4 linked regions of the Saccharomyces cerevisiae S288C genome follow. Changing the gene in region 1 together with any one later gene gives a genetic interaction. Each region holds a gene or a part of one and is shown in the gene's direction. Other genes may lie near its edges. The genes, in order: NVJ1, LDO16, LDO45 and MDM1.

Region 1 (3,338 bases):
AACATTTTCATATTCATCTTCTGGACAACCACCTTTGTATCTTTGATCCTTTACTTAATCAATACCGTGTTTGCACAAGAATACCTCGCAAGCAAGATTGGTAAATTTATTACTAAGAATGAGTCGTTGTCAATCGTTTTCGAGAGTGCCATTGTACCAGACTGGTCGTCTGGGAAAATCAGCTTTCAAAAAGTCTTCGTCTCCAGGAGACCAAAGGTCTCGCGCGGCTTTACCAAGGGTTCACAGCAGGATGCCCTGCAAAGGGCGAAGTTGGCCCTTAGTGAGAGAATATTGGTTAACCAACAGGACTTTGATAATGGCAATTATACACAGTTTGATCTGACCATTGACCAAGTCGACATATCGTTGAATTTCAGAAAGTGGATAAATGGGAAGGGTATCCTAGACGAAGTGACCATAAATGGGCTTAGAGGAGTCATAGACAGAACACACGTGGTGTGGAAAAAGGACGACGATCCTAAGAACTATCTGAACGTCTACCAGCCGGGCGACTTTGAAATATCAAAATTCACCATGAACGATGTCCTTTGTACACTGTACCAGCCAAATGGGTTCAGGCCATTCCAGGTGAGTATATTTAATTGCGATCTACCGCAATTGAGAAAACATTGGTTGTTCTACGATATCTTGAATGCGAACAATATCAATGGGACCTACGACAATTCAATGTTCACTATCCACAAGAAGTTCAGAACCGATGATCAGCATCAGGACCCCACGCTGCTATGGAAGCAAATGACAAGGTTTAGGGTAGACAATCTCGACATCGATCACCTGAACGCCGGTATCGAAGGACCCTTTGGATGGATCAACGAAGGTCGCGTGAACATGATTGGCGACGTTCTTTTACCAGATGACGATGCCGCGTCTGACTCGCTGCAACTGACAGAAATCCTCACAGAGATCGGTGACCGCTTAATCAAAAAAGCGAAAAGGTACACTTCATCCCTTCCTCTGGTTGGGCCAGGATTCTCCCCGGCCGTTGATGAAATTGACCCGAACGACTACTTTATTATGGACTTTTCTTTAAGACTATACAATGTCAAAGCCGAAGTCCCTCTGTTCACTTCTGGCTTAACGTATATCAATAGTGCATTGATAAGGCCTATTGTCGGGTACATCAATTCTCACAGGACATACATCCCAATCAAATGCCGCATTGTAAAGAAAAAGTCTGATTTTGAGGGCTCCTGGACCATATATGATTCATACCTTATGCGGGATCTAAGTGCGGAAGCGTACGATGCCTTCGCCGACTACGTCGCTGACGATGAAAAGAGGACATTACGCTTGAGAAGGGTGGGCTTTTGGTCACTGCAACTTATACTCCAGGTGATTTTGATGAGTCTCGGTGCTATCGCGTGAGGAATACCTACTCCTGTCACTTTCTGTACATATGCATTTACATAGCATCGTTCTTTCTATCAGTTTATCTAATTTGTGACGCATCTTTCTTCTTTCTACACTGCGGAAAATCCTATTTGAAAAAAAATAGACGAAAAATATCAGGACCCACCCCCTTATGAAGGAGAGAAGGGGAAGAGGAGCTGCAAAACAAAAAGGTGAGGCTTCTTCTGTCCAGATTTTTGTGAGTGAGAGAGTGTGTGGGAAGAGAAGGAATTAAACCAAACAAAAATTGGAACCAACAACTGTTGCGTTTGCGTGTGTGCATAATATCAAAAAAGCTACAAATATAATTGTAAAATATAATAAGCATGACTCGTCCCCCATTGGTTCGTGGAATCTTTTCGTTAGGTCTTTCTGTAGCCGTTTTGAAAGGTGTTGAAAAAACAGTTCGTAAGCATTTGGAAAGACAGGGATGGATAGAGCCCCAGAAAGTGGACTATGAGTTAATTTTCACTATAGATAGGTTGAAAAACTTGGTAGATAATAAGCGTGAGGCTTTAACTGCGGAACAACCCGACGCTGGTGAACTGAGCTGGCGTAAAGTATTTAATTTCATTTCCAGACAATCCAGCGAATTGGACACACGAATATACGTTCTTATACTACTCCTATCCTTTCTACTACCTATCGCGTGGACTGTACTGGACGGTGATCGCGAGACCACGCTAGAAGATAAGGATAACGATTGTAATGTAGATCTTATTGAAAACGAAAGGAGGCTGAAGCATTACAACGATGGTGAAAGAGCAGTATTGCAATTTGGTAAAAATAGATCCGAACCTATTATATTAAGCTATAAGGACATGAACGTTTTGGAAGGGGAACATGAGTTTACCTCCAAAGAGGAACACAGTAACAGCCATTTGACAAGCAAGAGCGAAAATGCACTAAACCAAGTAGGGAGTGAAGATTTGTTAGGTTGTCACCTGGAAAAGCAATTGGAAGAAGACAAAAATGAACCGAATGGAGAAGCAGACGGTGAGGATGATAATAACCGGGAAAAGGATTGCAGCTCCAGTTCAGAAGTTGAGTCGCAGAGTAAATGCCGAAAGGAAAGTACTGCAGAGCCTGACTCTCTCTCACGGGATACCAGAACAACCTCTTCCCTTAAATCAAGTACATCATTCCCCATATCATTCAAGGGCTCGATAGACCTTAAGTCGTTAAACCAGCCTTCATCATTGTTGCATATACAAGTATCTCCCACAAAATCTAGTAATCTAGATGCACAAGTGAACACTGAACAAGCATACTCTCAACCATTTAGATACTAATGTACTATATTTCCGTCATCTCGGTTATCATCGTCACTTACAACGAGGTGCGAAAATTTTTTTCTTCTAAAGGTGAGAAGAAAACATGAAAAATTTTGAAAAATTTAACGATGAGATGGAGTTTTCAAGTAACTTTATGTAGTTGAAATACATATTAGTACTCCGTTGCAATATATAACGCCGGGCATTCTCCACGTATATACATACCGTAGTGCACAATGGGCTCCTCTTTGGATTTGGTGGCGAGCTTCTCGCATGATTCCACTCGTTTTGCATTCCAAGCAAGCGTCGCACAAAAGAACAATGTGGATATTTATCCATTAAATGAAACTAAGGATTATGTGGTCAATAGTTCATTAGTGAGTCATATTGACTATGAGACAAACGATATGAAGGTTTCAGATGTAATCTTCTTTGGGTGGTGTAGTGATTTGATAGATACGCAGTCATCCAATATCAAAAGAAAATTAGATGAAGATGAAGGAACTGGTGAATCAAGTGAGCAAAGATGTGAAAACTTTTTCGTTAACGGATTTCCTGACGGAAGAATTGTTGTTTACTCTTCTAATGGTAAGGATATAGTTAATATCATCAAGAATAAAAAAGAGATTTTGGGAGCAGACACAGACGAGTCTG
Region 2 (2,509 bases), on another chromosome or scaffold:
ACAAGTGCGTGTTAATGAGCTTGAGTCTATAACCATAGTTGTGATGAAAAAGTACTTCTTGCGCGAAAATTCAGAGGATAAGACAACACAACAGAGACCCGCTGAATAAGGTTTCTCATCTCAATCAATTACACCGTAGTGTAGGGTTTTATCAGCTCAAGCGAGTTTTTCAACCCTTCCACAATCTTCTCTTTATTAATAAATATGTTGGAGATATCTCCTGTATGGGTAATATGTATATATGTAAAAAAAAAAAAAGAAAAACAAAAGAACCAAGATCGGGCTACGATGGATAAAAAAAAAAGAAAATCTGACTACTCACAAAACTGGTATTCATCTGTACTTTCAAGACGATTAAAATAAAAAGTGACATCTGAAAAACATCCAATACTCCGATGGCAGCCAGGAATCGTAGAAAGAATAACAAGAAAAAGTCCCTTTTGGTAACGAGTGCCGCTCAAGAAAAGAATGCGACGTATGTGCTCGTTGCAGAGGAATTACATAAAAAAACAATCGATCTAAACATGGGTACTGAAACACCTTTAACGGAAAACCACGAGAATCCTATACCAGCGAAAGAATTCAAGCACCAGCAAAAATTAGAGCCAATAGACGAACATGATGATGGCGAAGACGAATTATCGATAAAATTTAAGTCCATGACAAAAAGCTCGGGGCCTATTACTGAGGCTGAAGTTCAAAAGCTGCTCCTAAGCTATGCCTTCACAAGTGCTGCAATACAGGAGGACGAAAACGAGAAAGAATCGCGTCACTATCCTATTAAACCGCCTTCGCCATCAGCTTCTTCTTTGTCCGCCTATTTTCAATCCTTCGTTGAAAAATGCAAACAGGTTTTCTACAACTTCAGTCTGCAAACAGTAGAAAAATTAAATGCTCTACAAAATAGCTTGTACGAAGTATTTTGGATTATTTTTATTTATTTAAACTACTGGTTCCCCAATGTGGGTGACTATGTGAGGTATGTCTGTCGTAGCTTCTCGCGCCATAACGAAATTGCCCAATTACTAACACGTATTTTTACTTACAATATCAACCACCTCCACTAATGAACAGGCACAGTATAGAAAAAAAATCAGATCTGCATTTAAAAGGCTGTCTTTTCCAATGATCCTCGACCTTAGCGCGGCTAATCAATTCTACTCACTTTTTTGTTCGCTTTTTTTTTTTTGACCCGTTGAACCAAGCGGGTTAATTATTTTTTAAGGATAAAGGCTACCACAATCATGAGAGAGACACCATGTACTTGCAGGATTCTGATATTTTTTCTATGCTTGTTTGCTGACATGCAGATTCGGAGCTGGTTTTGATATTTCATAATCACCTATTTTTGAAGCAATACTTTTGGACAACAAGATAGCATTATTATTAGGATTTCCCTATCAAAGAGTCATTTCCGTGCACTTCGTGAAAAATCCAGTCAGAAAGTTCAGCAAGCAGTCAAGAATATCTACTTTTGTTTCCAAGAAAAGCCTTACCTGACAGCGTTCAAAGTCTCCTTTGCCATTGGACTTGTTATTCCGTGTTCCCTACTTTTTTTGATAATGGTTTCTACCGCTACATTTTTCTTTTTTGTTTACTTAACCCTTTTCGTAGTGATAGGTTTCTTCTCCTCATTATTCATAATACCCTTATTGGGCATTTCCTTTGTGTTTGCCATTGGCGTGGTATCATTTGGCTTCTGCAGCAACATGAGTTTCAAAATGGCCCAACTCATTTATGTCCGAGCTGACGCCTTCTTGAAAAAAGTCCTCGACAAAATGGCCCTACAAACACAGCCGGCACAACTACAGGAACCACAGGAGCCACTTTCCACATTAAGGCCAGTATCTAATCCAACTATTCCAAGCCCATTAAGACAAACGGCGCGCCCTTCTAAATTCGTCACCGAAGAAGATGTTATTTTCGAACCTGTTAGTGCTCAAAGCGCCATTGCCCGTTCATTAGAGACTACTGCTAATAAAGCGGGTAATAAGTTCCAGCTCTCTTAACCTCGGCAATAAAAAAACATTTTTCGCAAGTTTAGCAGGTCAATAATAATAATATCCTTATAAATTACACTCAGTTTTTTATTACATATGGGCCTTTAGTATATACATACGCATATATCTTAGCTTTACCGATCTTCTAATATTGCGGCCTATAACGCATAGACCATAAAAGAAACGGAGCAGATGCAATTCTTCAAAACACTTGCGGCCTTGGTGTCGTGCATATCGTTCGTCCTCGCTTACGTGGCACAAGATGTTCATGTATCATTCCCCTCCACCGCAGGAAAGTCTAGGGTAATGATCGGTAAAGTTGAACCCAGAATAGGAATCGATGAAACTGTTCCGACTACAATCACAGTTGAAGACCCTAACGAGGTGATTCAAGTAAATTTCGCCATTGAGTCTACCAACAAACCCTTCCAGAACACCTTATTGATAGGCTTACCTAATAAGAACCTAGAAATGGCTTTTGAACCCGAAATTAAGGACAATGGCAAGTT
Region 3 (4,066 bases), on another chromosome or scaffold:
TACCTCGAAGGGGAGGGGTATGTGTTTTTTCCCCTCGTGGTTAAAGTGACTCTCTATTAACGTAATGAAAAGTCTAAATATTATAATGACTTGCACTTCGTATCAAGATATGCGAGAGATCATAATAAACGAAATAATATCCACAGTTTGGGTTTCATATTCTTATATATATATACGTGCGTATATGCATATATGTATGTTTACTATACATCAACATCAGCATCAAAATTAACATTAATTAGCTTCTTGCATGTGCTCTTTAGCTTCGGCGGCCTTCTCCACGTCGTATTTGAAATCAAAGTAAGATTTTTCGAAATGGTGTAGACGTATGAACCCATCTTCACCACCGGAGGCATAACTTGTGCCCTGTGGGCTAATGGCAACTGTGTTCAAGGGACCAAAATGGCCTTGTACTCTGCCGATTTCTTCTTCGAAGATCTTGTGGTAGAACCTAGCTTCAAACTTACCTTCGTTGGCACTGGTGGTGGTGACATCCTTGGCCTCTTGACCACCACCAAGAATAATGAATTCCTTCAATGGGGTGATTACGGCGGTGTTTAGAGGACAGTCTGTTTCGTATTTCTTAAGAACTTGTAGAGTCGATACATCGACCAAGAACGAGTTAGTATCTCTGGATGATGTAATAAAGTATGTTAAATCAGGAGAAAATTGCATGTCACTGATGGACTTTTCGTGCAAATCGATGGAATCCACGTATTCGTAGTTGTTGGACACATCGTATTTGCTGATCTTACCGTCTTTATGGCCTGCAATGATGTATTTGCCCTTAGTCGACCATCCAGCCACGGTGGCAGCGTCTAAACCTTCATGAGTGATAATTTTATGGATTGGCTCTTCGGAGACCTTTGTTAATTCGTGAGTGGCGGAATCTCTTTCAATTTCGTATATGTTAATGGAACCTGGATTTTTCATGACGTTGTCCAAGATAGCTAGAAAGTAGTTACCGCATGGGGAAAATTCAACTCTTTTAACGGGGACAGGCGATTTCCATGTAGCAACACATTGCCCGTTTGACACATCCCATAATTTGATACTGTAATCAGCACTTCCTGTAACACAGTACTTGGTGAAACAGTCGACGTCGATAGACCAAATGGTACCGGTGTGACCATCCAAAGTACCTAATCTTTCACCGTTCAACGAATACCAAACACTGGCCGAGCTATCTTTCGAACATGAAAATAGTAAATCACCTTCTTTGTTGTACTTCACTTGAGTTAATGGACGTTCATGACCTGTTAATTTGATAGCCTTCATATTCCTTGTCTGTGCTATTTCTTTTTGTCTTCTCTCCTGGCCAGTTATCTAACGACCTTAAGATATACCTCGCCTCTTGTTCATCAGTAACTCTTCTGCAAATTTTTCTGTTCAGTTACGACTATTCGAAATTTTTCAGAGGCCGGAAAAAATTTCACAAAAAAAAAAAAATATGCGAAACTGAAGGTGGCACGCGGGGTAACTGATATATTTCATACGAACAGCGGCTATACAGAAACCCCACTATATTTACAAAGAAATATGCTCTGGAATCTACCTACAAGTGCGTGTTAATGAGCTTGAGTCTATAACCATAGTTGTGATGAAAAAGTACTTCTTGCGCGAAAATTCAGAGGATAAGACAACACAACAGAGACCCGCTGAATAAGGTTTCTCATCTCAATCAATTACACCGTAGTGTAGGGTTTTATCAGCTCAAGCGAGTTTTTCAACCCTTCCACAATCTTCTCTTTATTAATAAATATGTTGGAGATATCTCCTGTATGGGTAATATGTATATATGTAAAAAAAAAAAAAGAAAAACAAAAGAACCAAGATCGGGCTACGATGGATAAAAAAAAAAGAAAATCTGACTACTCACAAAACTGGTATTCATCTGTACTTTCAAGACGATTAAAATAAAAAGTGACATCTGAAAAACATCCAATACTCCGATGGCAGCCAGGAATCGTAGAAAGAATAACAAGAAAAAGTCCCTTTTGGTAACGAGTGCCGCTCAAGAAAAGAATGCGACGTATGTGCTCGTTGCAGAGGAATTACATAAAAAAACAATCGATCTAAACATGGGTACTGAAACACCTTTAACGGAAAACCACGAGAATCCTATACCAGCGAAAGAATTCAAGCACCAGCAAAAATTAGAGCCAATAGACGAACATGATGATGGCGAAGACGAATTATCGATAAAATTTAAGTCCATGACAAAAAGCTCGGGGCCTATTACTGAGGCTGAAGTTCAAAAGCTGCTCCTAAGCTATGCCTTCACAAGTGCTGCAATACAGGAGGACGAAAACGAGAAAGAATCGCGTCACTATCCTATTAAACCGCCTTCGCCATCAGCTTCTTCTTTGTCCGCCTATTTTCAATCCTTCGTTGAAAAATGCAAACAGGTTTTCTACAACTTCAGTCTGCAAACAGTAGAAAAATTAAATGCTCTACAAAATAGCTTGTACGAAGTATTTTGGATTATTTTTATTTATTTAAACTACTGGTTCCCCAATGTGGGTGACTATGTGAGGTATGTCTGTCGTAGCTTCTCGCGCCATAACGAAATTGCCCAATTACTAACACGTATTTTTACTTACAATATCAACCACCTCCACTAATGAACAGGCACAGTATAGAAAAAAAATCAGATCTGCATTTAAAAGGCTGTCTTTTCCAATGATCCTCGACCTTAGCGCGGCTAATCAATTCTACTCACTTTTTTGTTCGCTTTTTTTTTTTTGACCCGTTGAACCAAGCGGGTTAATTATTTTTTAAGGATAAAGGCTACCACAATCATGAGAGAGACACCATGTACTTGCAGGATTCTGATATTTTTTCTATGCTTGTTTGCTGACATGCAGATTCGGAGCTGGTTTTGATATTTCATAATCACCTATTTTTGAAGCAATACTTTTGGACAACAAGATAGCATTATTATTAGGATTTCCCTATCAAAGAGTCATTTCCGTGCACTTCGTGAAAAATCCAGTCAGAAAGTTCAGCAAGCAGTCAAGAATATCTACTTTTGTTTCCAAGAAAAGCCTTACCTGACAGCGTTCAAAGTCTCCTTTGCCATTGGACTTGTTATTCCGTGTTCCCTACTTTTTTTGATAATGGTTTCTACCGCTACATTTTTCTTTTTTGTTTACTTAACCCTTTTCGTAGTGATAGGTTTCTTCTCCTCATTATTCATAATACCCTTATTGGGCATTTCCTTTGTGTTTGCCATTGGCGTGGTATCATTTGGCTTCTGCAGCAACATGAGTTTCAAAATGGCCCAACTCATTTATGTCCGAGCTGACGCCTTCTTGAAAAAAGTCCTCGACAAAATGGCCCTACAAACACAGCCGGCACAACTACAGGAACCACAGGAGCCACTTTCCACATTAAGGCCAGTATCTAATCCAACTATTCCAAGCCCATTAAGACAAACGGCGCGCCCTTCTAAATTCGTCACCGAAGAAGATGTTATTTTCGAACCTGTTAGTGCTCAAAGCGCCATTGCCCGTTCATTAGAGACTACTGCTAATAAAGCGGGTAATAAGTTCCAGCTCTCTTAACCTCGGCAATAAAAAAACATTTTTCGCAAGTTTAGCAGGTCAATAATAATAATATCCTTATAAATTACACTCAGTTTTTTATTACATATGGGCCTTTAGTATATACATACGCATATATCTTAGCTTTACCGATCTTCTAATATTGCGGCCTATAACGCATAGACCATAAAAGAAACGGAGCAGATGCAATTCTTCAAAACACTTGCGGCCTTGGTGTCGTGCATATCGTTCGTCCTCGCTTACGTGGCACAAGATGTTCATGTATCATTCCCCTCCACCGCAGGAAAGTCTAGGGTAATGATCGGTAAAGTTGAACCCAGAATAGGAATCGATGAAACTGTTCCGACTACAATCACAGTTGAAGACCCTAACGAGGTGATTCAAGTAAATTTCGCCATTGAGTCTACCAACAAACCCTTCCAGAACACCTTATTGATAGGCTTACCTAATAAGAACCTAGAAATGGCTTTTGAACCCGAAATTAAGGACAATGGCAAGTT
Region 4 (5,864 bases), on another chromosome or scaffold:
TTTGAATCAGGAAGACTTGTTTGAATTAGTTCATCATTTCTTCCAAATTGATGGGTTCAATAAAACTTTTCATGATGAATTAAACTTAAAATTTAAAGAGAAATGGCCCAGTTTAGAGCTTCAGTCGTTCCAAAAAATTCCATTATCCAGAATAAACGAAAATGAGAATTTCGGTTATGATATTCCGTTATTAGATATAGTTTTAAAAGCTGACCGTAGTTGGAACGAACCAAGTAAGAGTCAGACAAATTTTAAGGAGGAAATAACAGACGCTTCATTAAATTTGCAGTATGTCAATTACGAAATATCTACCGCAAAAGCATGGGGCGCACTAATCACCACGTTTGTGAAGAGGAGCACTGTTCCGTTAAATGATGGTTTTGTCGACTTGGTAGAGCATTTCCTCAAGTTAAATATTGATTTTGGTTCAGATAAACAAATGTTTACCCAAATATATCTGGAAAGAATTGAGTTGTCGTTTTACATTTTATATTCGTTCAAGTTGTCGGGAAAATTGTTGAAGGAAGAAAAGATAATTGAATTGATGAACAAGATTTTTACAATTTTCAAATCTGGTGAGATTGACTTTATTAAAAATATTGGTAAGTCACTAAAAAATAACTTTTATAGACCTCTTTTGAGATCTGTCTTAGTTCTTCTCGAGTTAGTCTCGTCAGGAGATCGTTTTATCGAATTAATATCTGATCAACTACTGGAATTTTTTGAATTAGTGTTTAGTAAGGGTGTTTATTTGATACTGTCTGAGATATTATGTCAGATCAATAAATGCTCCACGAGGGGTTTAAGCACCGATCACACCACCCAAATTGTCAACTTGGAGGATAATACTCAGGATTTATTGTTATTATTATCACTCTTCAAGAAGATCACCAATGTGAATCCCTCTAAAAACTTCAATGTTATTCTAGCATCATCCCTAAACGAAGTAGGAACTTTGAAAGTTATACTGAACCTATATTCAAGCGCGCATTTGATAAGGATTAACGATGAACCAATTCTTGGGCAAATTACTCTGACCTTTATCTCCGAATTGTGTTCTATTGAGCCAATTGCTGCAAAACTCATCAACAGTGGATTGTATAGCGTTCTATTGGAAAGTCCACTATCTGTTGCAATACAGCAAGGTGATATAAAACCTGAATTTTCGCCTAGATTGCACAACATTTGGAGCAATGGTTTGTTATCCATTGTTCTACTACTATTAAGTCAGTTCGGTATCAAGGTTTTACCTGAGACGTGCCTATTTGTTTCATATTTTGGAAAACAAATAAAATCTACAATATATAACTGGGGTGACAACAAGTTAGCAGTGTCAAGTTCGTTGATAAAGGAAACGAATCAATTGGTTTTATTGCAAAAAATGCTAAACTTGCTAAATTACCAAGAATTGTTTATTCAGCCTAAAAACTCTGATGATCAACAAGAAGCTGTAGAATTGGTTATTGGTCTAGATTCTGAACATGATAAAAAAAGGTTAAGCGCTGCATTAAGCAAGTTTCTAACACATCCAAAATACTTGAATTCAAGAATAATACCTACAACTTTAGAAGAGCAACAGCAGTTGGAGGATGAATCAAGCAGATTGGAGTTCGTCAAGGGTATCAGCAGAGACATTAAAGCATTACAAGATTCACTATTTAAGGACGTTTAACTTATTTTGCAGGTTATGTAAAGCTACATAATATAATAATGAACAGTGCAAGTGCAAGGGTGGCCCTTTGTTGCTATACTGCGGACTGCGACTGTATGAGCTTTTTCCATCCCAGTTCTATCCATTGTGTACTTTTTTTTTTCATCGCCTTACGAACTTCAAAAATATGTAAACAATAAGATAAGTAAATTAACCGAAGACTCTCATGCTTTGAAAGCGCCATAAGTGCGCGTGTTTGTGCCTTCTGATATGATATCGTATGCCTAAGTTTCCACAGTTTCGATTGATTTTAGTTTTGTTTTACTTAATATCAATGATACAATGGTCGGTAATCACTTTTTCGCTGGGGTTCTTTCTTAATGTCTGCATCTTTGCGTACTTCGTATTCTTCAAATCCTTGCCTGATTTACCGAAACCTCAGCCAAGATTTGTTGATATCGTACCGGAAAGTTCGAATACTGTGGATGTTGATAAAGAATTGAAGTCTGTCGAGGGTTTAATACAAGATGGGAACGCGCAAATTGGGAAAGAATTAGAGAGTATTGTTAATTTAATTATTAAAGATTTTGTTCAGCCTTGGTTCACAAAAATCGATAAGAATAGTGACGCAGAGTTCCTCAAAGTAATAAAGTGGAGATTATTACAAACGCTCCTAGTGGTGAAGGACAAGTTGATGAAGAATGATAGTGCCAGCTTGATTGTTCTGAAGCTGTTGCCTATATTTAACAAACATTTCAGCACTTTTTGTGATGCCAGAGAAGCTGTGCTAAGCGATTTGACTCTTGAAAGGCATAAATCAGCCAACATCGATCTACAAATTGCCGTTGAGTTTAATAAAAATTACAAAATACATAAATCATTATCATTGAAGCCGAATGCTCTTCAGAAAGAAATTGAAAAATCCATAAGGAAAACTGTAATCGGGCTCCTTCCTCACCTTTTTGATAATGATGAGTTAGATTCATTGCTTGTTTTCACATTAATGACGGAAGTTCTCACTACGTGCATTATTTCTCCATTAATTTTCAAATTTACTGATCCAGATAGTTGGAATTTAAGAATTGTAAGCCTTTCACAAAATTATTTCGAGGAAAAGCACAAAGTTCACAAGATAAGAAGAATGTTGAGTAAAGAGTTACAAGATCATAGAAAAGTGATGAATGACGTAGCGAACAAAGATGTTGGAGAACCCTCAAGTGAAAAATTGGAGCTTAATGCTGAATATACTGGAAAACAATTCGAGCATTATCTCAACCAGTTGGACTCCTTGTTGGATTTAAGTGATATCAAATATGTTGCGTATTCATTGGCCCTCAAAATATACCAATTGAAAGAAAATGAACATTTGACCAAGGAAAATTTGAAGTATAAGAAACGATTACTGCTTTCCTTAAATTTGATTGAATCAAAGTTATCGTTCCCTGGCTCGGAAATTGATACGGCAAGCAAAAAGCTTGCAAGAGAGGCTAATTATCCCGATTTAAATATGGATAATGGAATAGTATTGAAGGAAATGGCTTCATTTCTTACCTCCATCACATTGAAGGACATTGTAGACGATAGCGAGTTTCTTCCTTTTTTTGAATCATTTTTAGGCAGTGTTCCTGAAACACAGGGTTCAACATTTTTAGAGTATTCGCAAACAATTGAATCATTCAAAAATCCCTTGGAAGATGCTACATCTGAAGATATAATTTCTGGTTATTCAGGAATTAGCACAATGCAACTGCAAGAGATTTCTTCAAAGTTTTTTCATAACAATAACTTGCAAAATATGAAATTGCTGGATGAAGGTTTAGTGAAAAATATAATACTTTTCAGAAATTCATTTCAAATCAACAACGATGAAGACACATTTATCCTAGCTCGGAAAAGCGTTTTACTACTACAGACAGAGGCTATAAAGTATCTCGATGATAGATTTTTACCTCTTTTCAAGAAAACACCTTCATTTCTCAAAATGCTTTCAACGTCCCACATCATTTCGACTGATATATATGCTCACTTTCTGAGTAGAATCGGTGGTGTTAACAATCCAGAACAAAACAAAATAATAAAAGATAATGTGAAGACTGATTTTATGAATCCTGTCAGAATATTCGCAAACCCCGGCATCACAGATGCTTTAGATAATATAGTGAATGGATCGGGATCCAAGCCGCATAAATCAAGAATAAGCTCAAATCCCCGTTATTCTCAGCTCTTTGGTTCAGAAAATGACAACATTTTCAAAGATAAACTCTTCGACGATGAAAACGATAATACCTCAGAAATTTCTGTTGTCGAGGATCAGTTGGATCACCCACGTAATATGGAGAAAGTAAGTGTTTCCAGCGGGAATTCAGGCCTAAATCCTAGCCAATTTTATGGGTCAAACAACTTTAGGGATAATATAGCATCCTTGACTATTTCAATTGATCAGATTGAGAAAGAGCTTGAACTTTTAAGGCATTTGATTTTGAAGGCAGATCTGACCAACAATCAAATGCAGTTGAAAATTTTAAAAAAGTCACAAAGAACCCTATTAAAGGAACTAGAAATGAAGGAACTGTTGAAACAGCAATATATGGTACAAGAAAATGGTAATAGTTTGTTCAGAAAAACTAAGATATACATTAGGTCGTACTTCAGTGAGAATTCTAGTAATGGCCTAAAAGAAATAACTTATTATATCATCAATATCCATCATTTTAACAATGGGCAGGTAAGTTCTTGGGATATGGCAAGGAGATATAATGAATTTTTTGAATTAAATACATATTTGAAAAAGAATTTTAGGGATCTGATGAGGCAGTTGCAAGATTTGTTCCCGTCAAAAGTGAAAATGTCATTGAAATATCATGTTACAAAAACATTGCTTTATGAGGAACGAAAGCAAAAACTTGAAAAGTACTTGCGAGAACTATTATCTATTTCTGAAATATGCGAAGATAACATTTTCAGAAGATTTTTGACAGATCCTACCCCATTCAAACTGAACAAGGAATATATGCATGATGATATTCTGGAGGAGCCACTTCATGAACCTATTGGTAGTAGTAATAGCACAAGTAATAGCAGTTCTGTTGTTGATTTACAAAGCTCTGAAGACGGCGGTGAATTGAATTTCTATGAAGATGAAAGACATTTTTTCACCGATTCTGGCTATCCTTTTTATTCGCAAAATAAATCTTTTGTTAAACAGATATGTGACTTATTTATTTCGCTCTTTGCTTTAAATAAGGCCAACGCGGGTTGGTTAAGAGGAAGGGCTATAATTACCGTTTTACAACAGCTTCTTGGGAGCACTATTGAAAAGTATATAAAGGTCAGCATTCAAAAATTGAGATCAGAGGATCAAGTATTTGAAGCAATAGTTACATTCAAGAATATGCTATGGGGTGATAACGGTCTGTTCGAAAGAAAAAGAAATGAAACGGCAGAGGCAACAAGAAGCGAAGGTGAAAGGTTACGGACGGAACAACTCGCTTTAACCAGTTTGCAAAGACTCTTCGCAGACACTTGTGGTCGTGTAGTTGGTCTAAGAGATTCTCATGAAGCTGCTGGCCGGGTCCATGCCATGCTACAGAATCCGTATTTAAATGCCAGCTTACTGTTGGAAGCTCTTGATGCAATTTTATTGGACATAATATGTAATGACTGAAAATAAAACTTGACTAAGTACCGAACAATCTAAAAAAAAAAGTGTAATTGTCACAATAGCAAATAAATTGGTACACTTCTTCAGCCGCTTTAAAAATTGTGTACTTCTTCTTAAAACAATTGGGAAGTATTTATTTTTCACGCTTTTGTAATCTGAAAAAAAAAAAAATATCAATGATATTCAACAGGCTAGCAACTAACGAAATCAAAAGAAATAAAATAAGCCATAAGCTATAGTATCATAAAGTCAAAATGCCTAGATTAGAAGAGATTGACGATTTCAATGATATCGACGACCTTGATATGGAATTGGCCGAGTTAGATCCATCTTTGAGGACGCCGATCGCTCCCAAGATAACGCCTAAGGTTGTAAGGAGCCAGGACCAAGAGAACCCTGCATTTTTACCTGGCACGAATAACAACAGTAATAGCAACAACAATAGTAGCAACGAAAAAGAGCAGTTGAGTTTTATTAACCCAAAAACTGGTAAGGTTGAACGTTCGGAGGCTATTTCGAAGAAAGATTTAGAAGAAGTCAAAAGATTCCAAG

The links.
Region 2: of NVJ1 (region 1) and LDO16, extra expression of one rescues a mutant of the other (dosage rescue), as found in Saccharomyces cerevisiae (one study listed by BioGRID).
Region 3: of NVJ1 (region 1) and LDO45, extra expression of one rescues a mutant of the other (dosage rescue), as found in Saccharomyces cerevisiae (one study listed by BioGRID).
Region 4: of NVJ1 (region 1) and MDM1, changing one enhances a phenotype caused by changing the other (phenotypic enhancement), as found in Saccharomyces cerevisiae (one study listed by BioGRID).

Annotation. Positions count from the first base shown.
Region 1 is NC_001140.6:489,011-492,348, forward strand, and holds NVJ1 (Nvj1p), read left to right. Parts: upstream 1-1,736; coding exon 1,737-2,702; downstream 2,703-3,338. Other genes in the region: MDM31 (Mdm31p), read left to right, coding at 1-1,386; UTP9 (Utp9p), read left to right, coding at 2,921-3,338. UniProt on the Saccharomyces cerevisiae protein: Involved in the formation of nucleus-vacuole junctions (NVJs) during piecemeal microautophagy of the nucleus (PMN). NVJs are interorganelle interfaces mediated by NVJ1 in the nuclear envelope and VAC8 on the vacuole membrane.
Region 2 is NC_001145.3:558,804-561,312, forward strand, and holds LDO16 (Ldo16p), read left to right. Parts: upstream 1-1,562; coding exon 1,563-2,009; downstream 2,010-2,509. Other genes in the region: LDO45 (Ldo45p), read left to right, coding at 396-977, 1,353-2,009; SWP1 (dolichyl-diphosphooligosaccharide-protein glycotransferase), read left to right, coding at 2,193-2,509. UniProt on the Saccharomyces cerevisiae protein: Involved in lipid droplet (LD) organization. Functions primarily upon nutrient depletion, facilitating LD consumption by lipophagy.
Region 3 is NC_001145.3:557,247-561,312, forward strand, and holds LDO45 (Ldo45p), read left to right. Parts: upstream 1-1,952; coding exon 1,953-2,534; intron 2,535-2,909; coding exon 2,910-3,566; downstream 3,567-4,066. Other genes in the region: TIF34 (translation initiation factor eIF3 subunit i), read right to left, coding at 235-1,278; LDO16 (Ldo16p), read left to right, coding at 3,120-3,566; SWP1 (dolichyl-diphosphooligosaccharide-protein glycotransferase), read left to right, coding at 3,750-4,066. UniProt on the Saccharomyces cerevisiae protein: Involved in lipid droplet (LD) organization. Modulates triglyceride (TAG) storage by reducing DGA1 LD localization. Promotes LD targeting of some proteins, including PDR16.
Region 4 is NC_001145.3:58,390-64,253, reverse strand, and holds MDM1 (Mdm1p), read left to right. Parts: upstream 1-1,931; coding exon 1,932-5,315; downstream 5,316-5,864. Other genes in the region: NUP188 (Nup188p), read left to right, coding at 1-1,672; RNA-binding signal recognition particle subunit SEC65, read left to right, coding at 5,567-5,864. UniProt on the Saccharomyces cerevisiae protein: Essential for mitotic growth. Mediates organelle inheritance.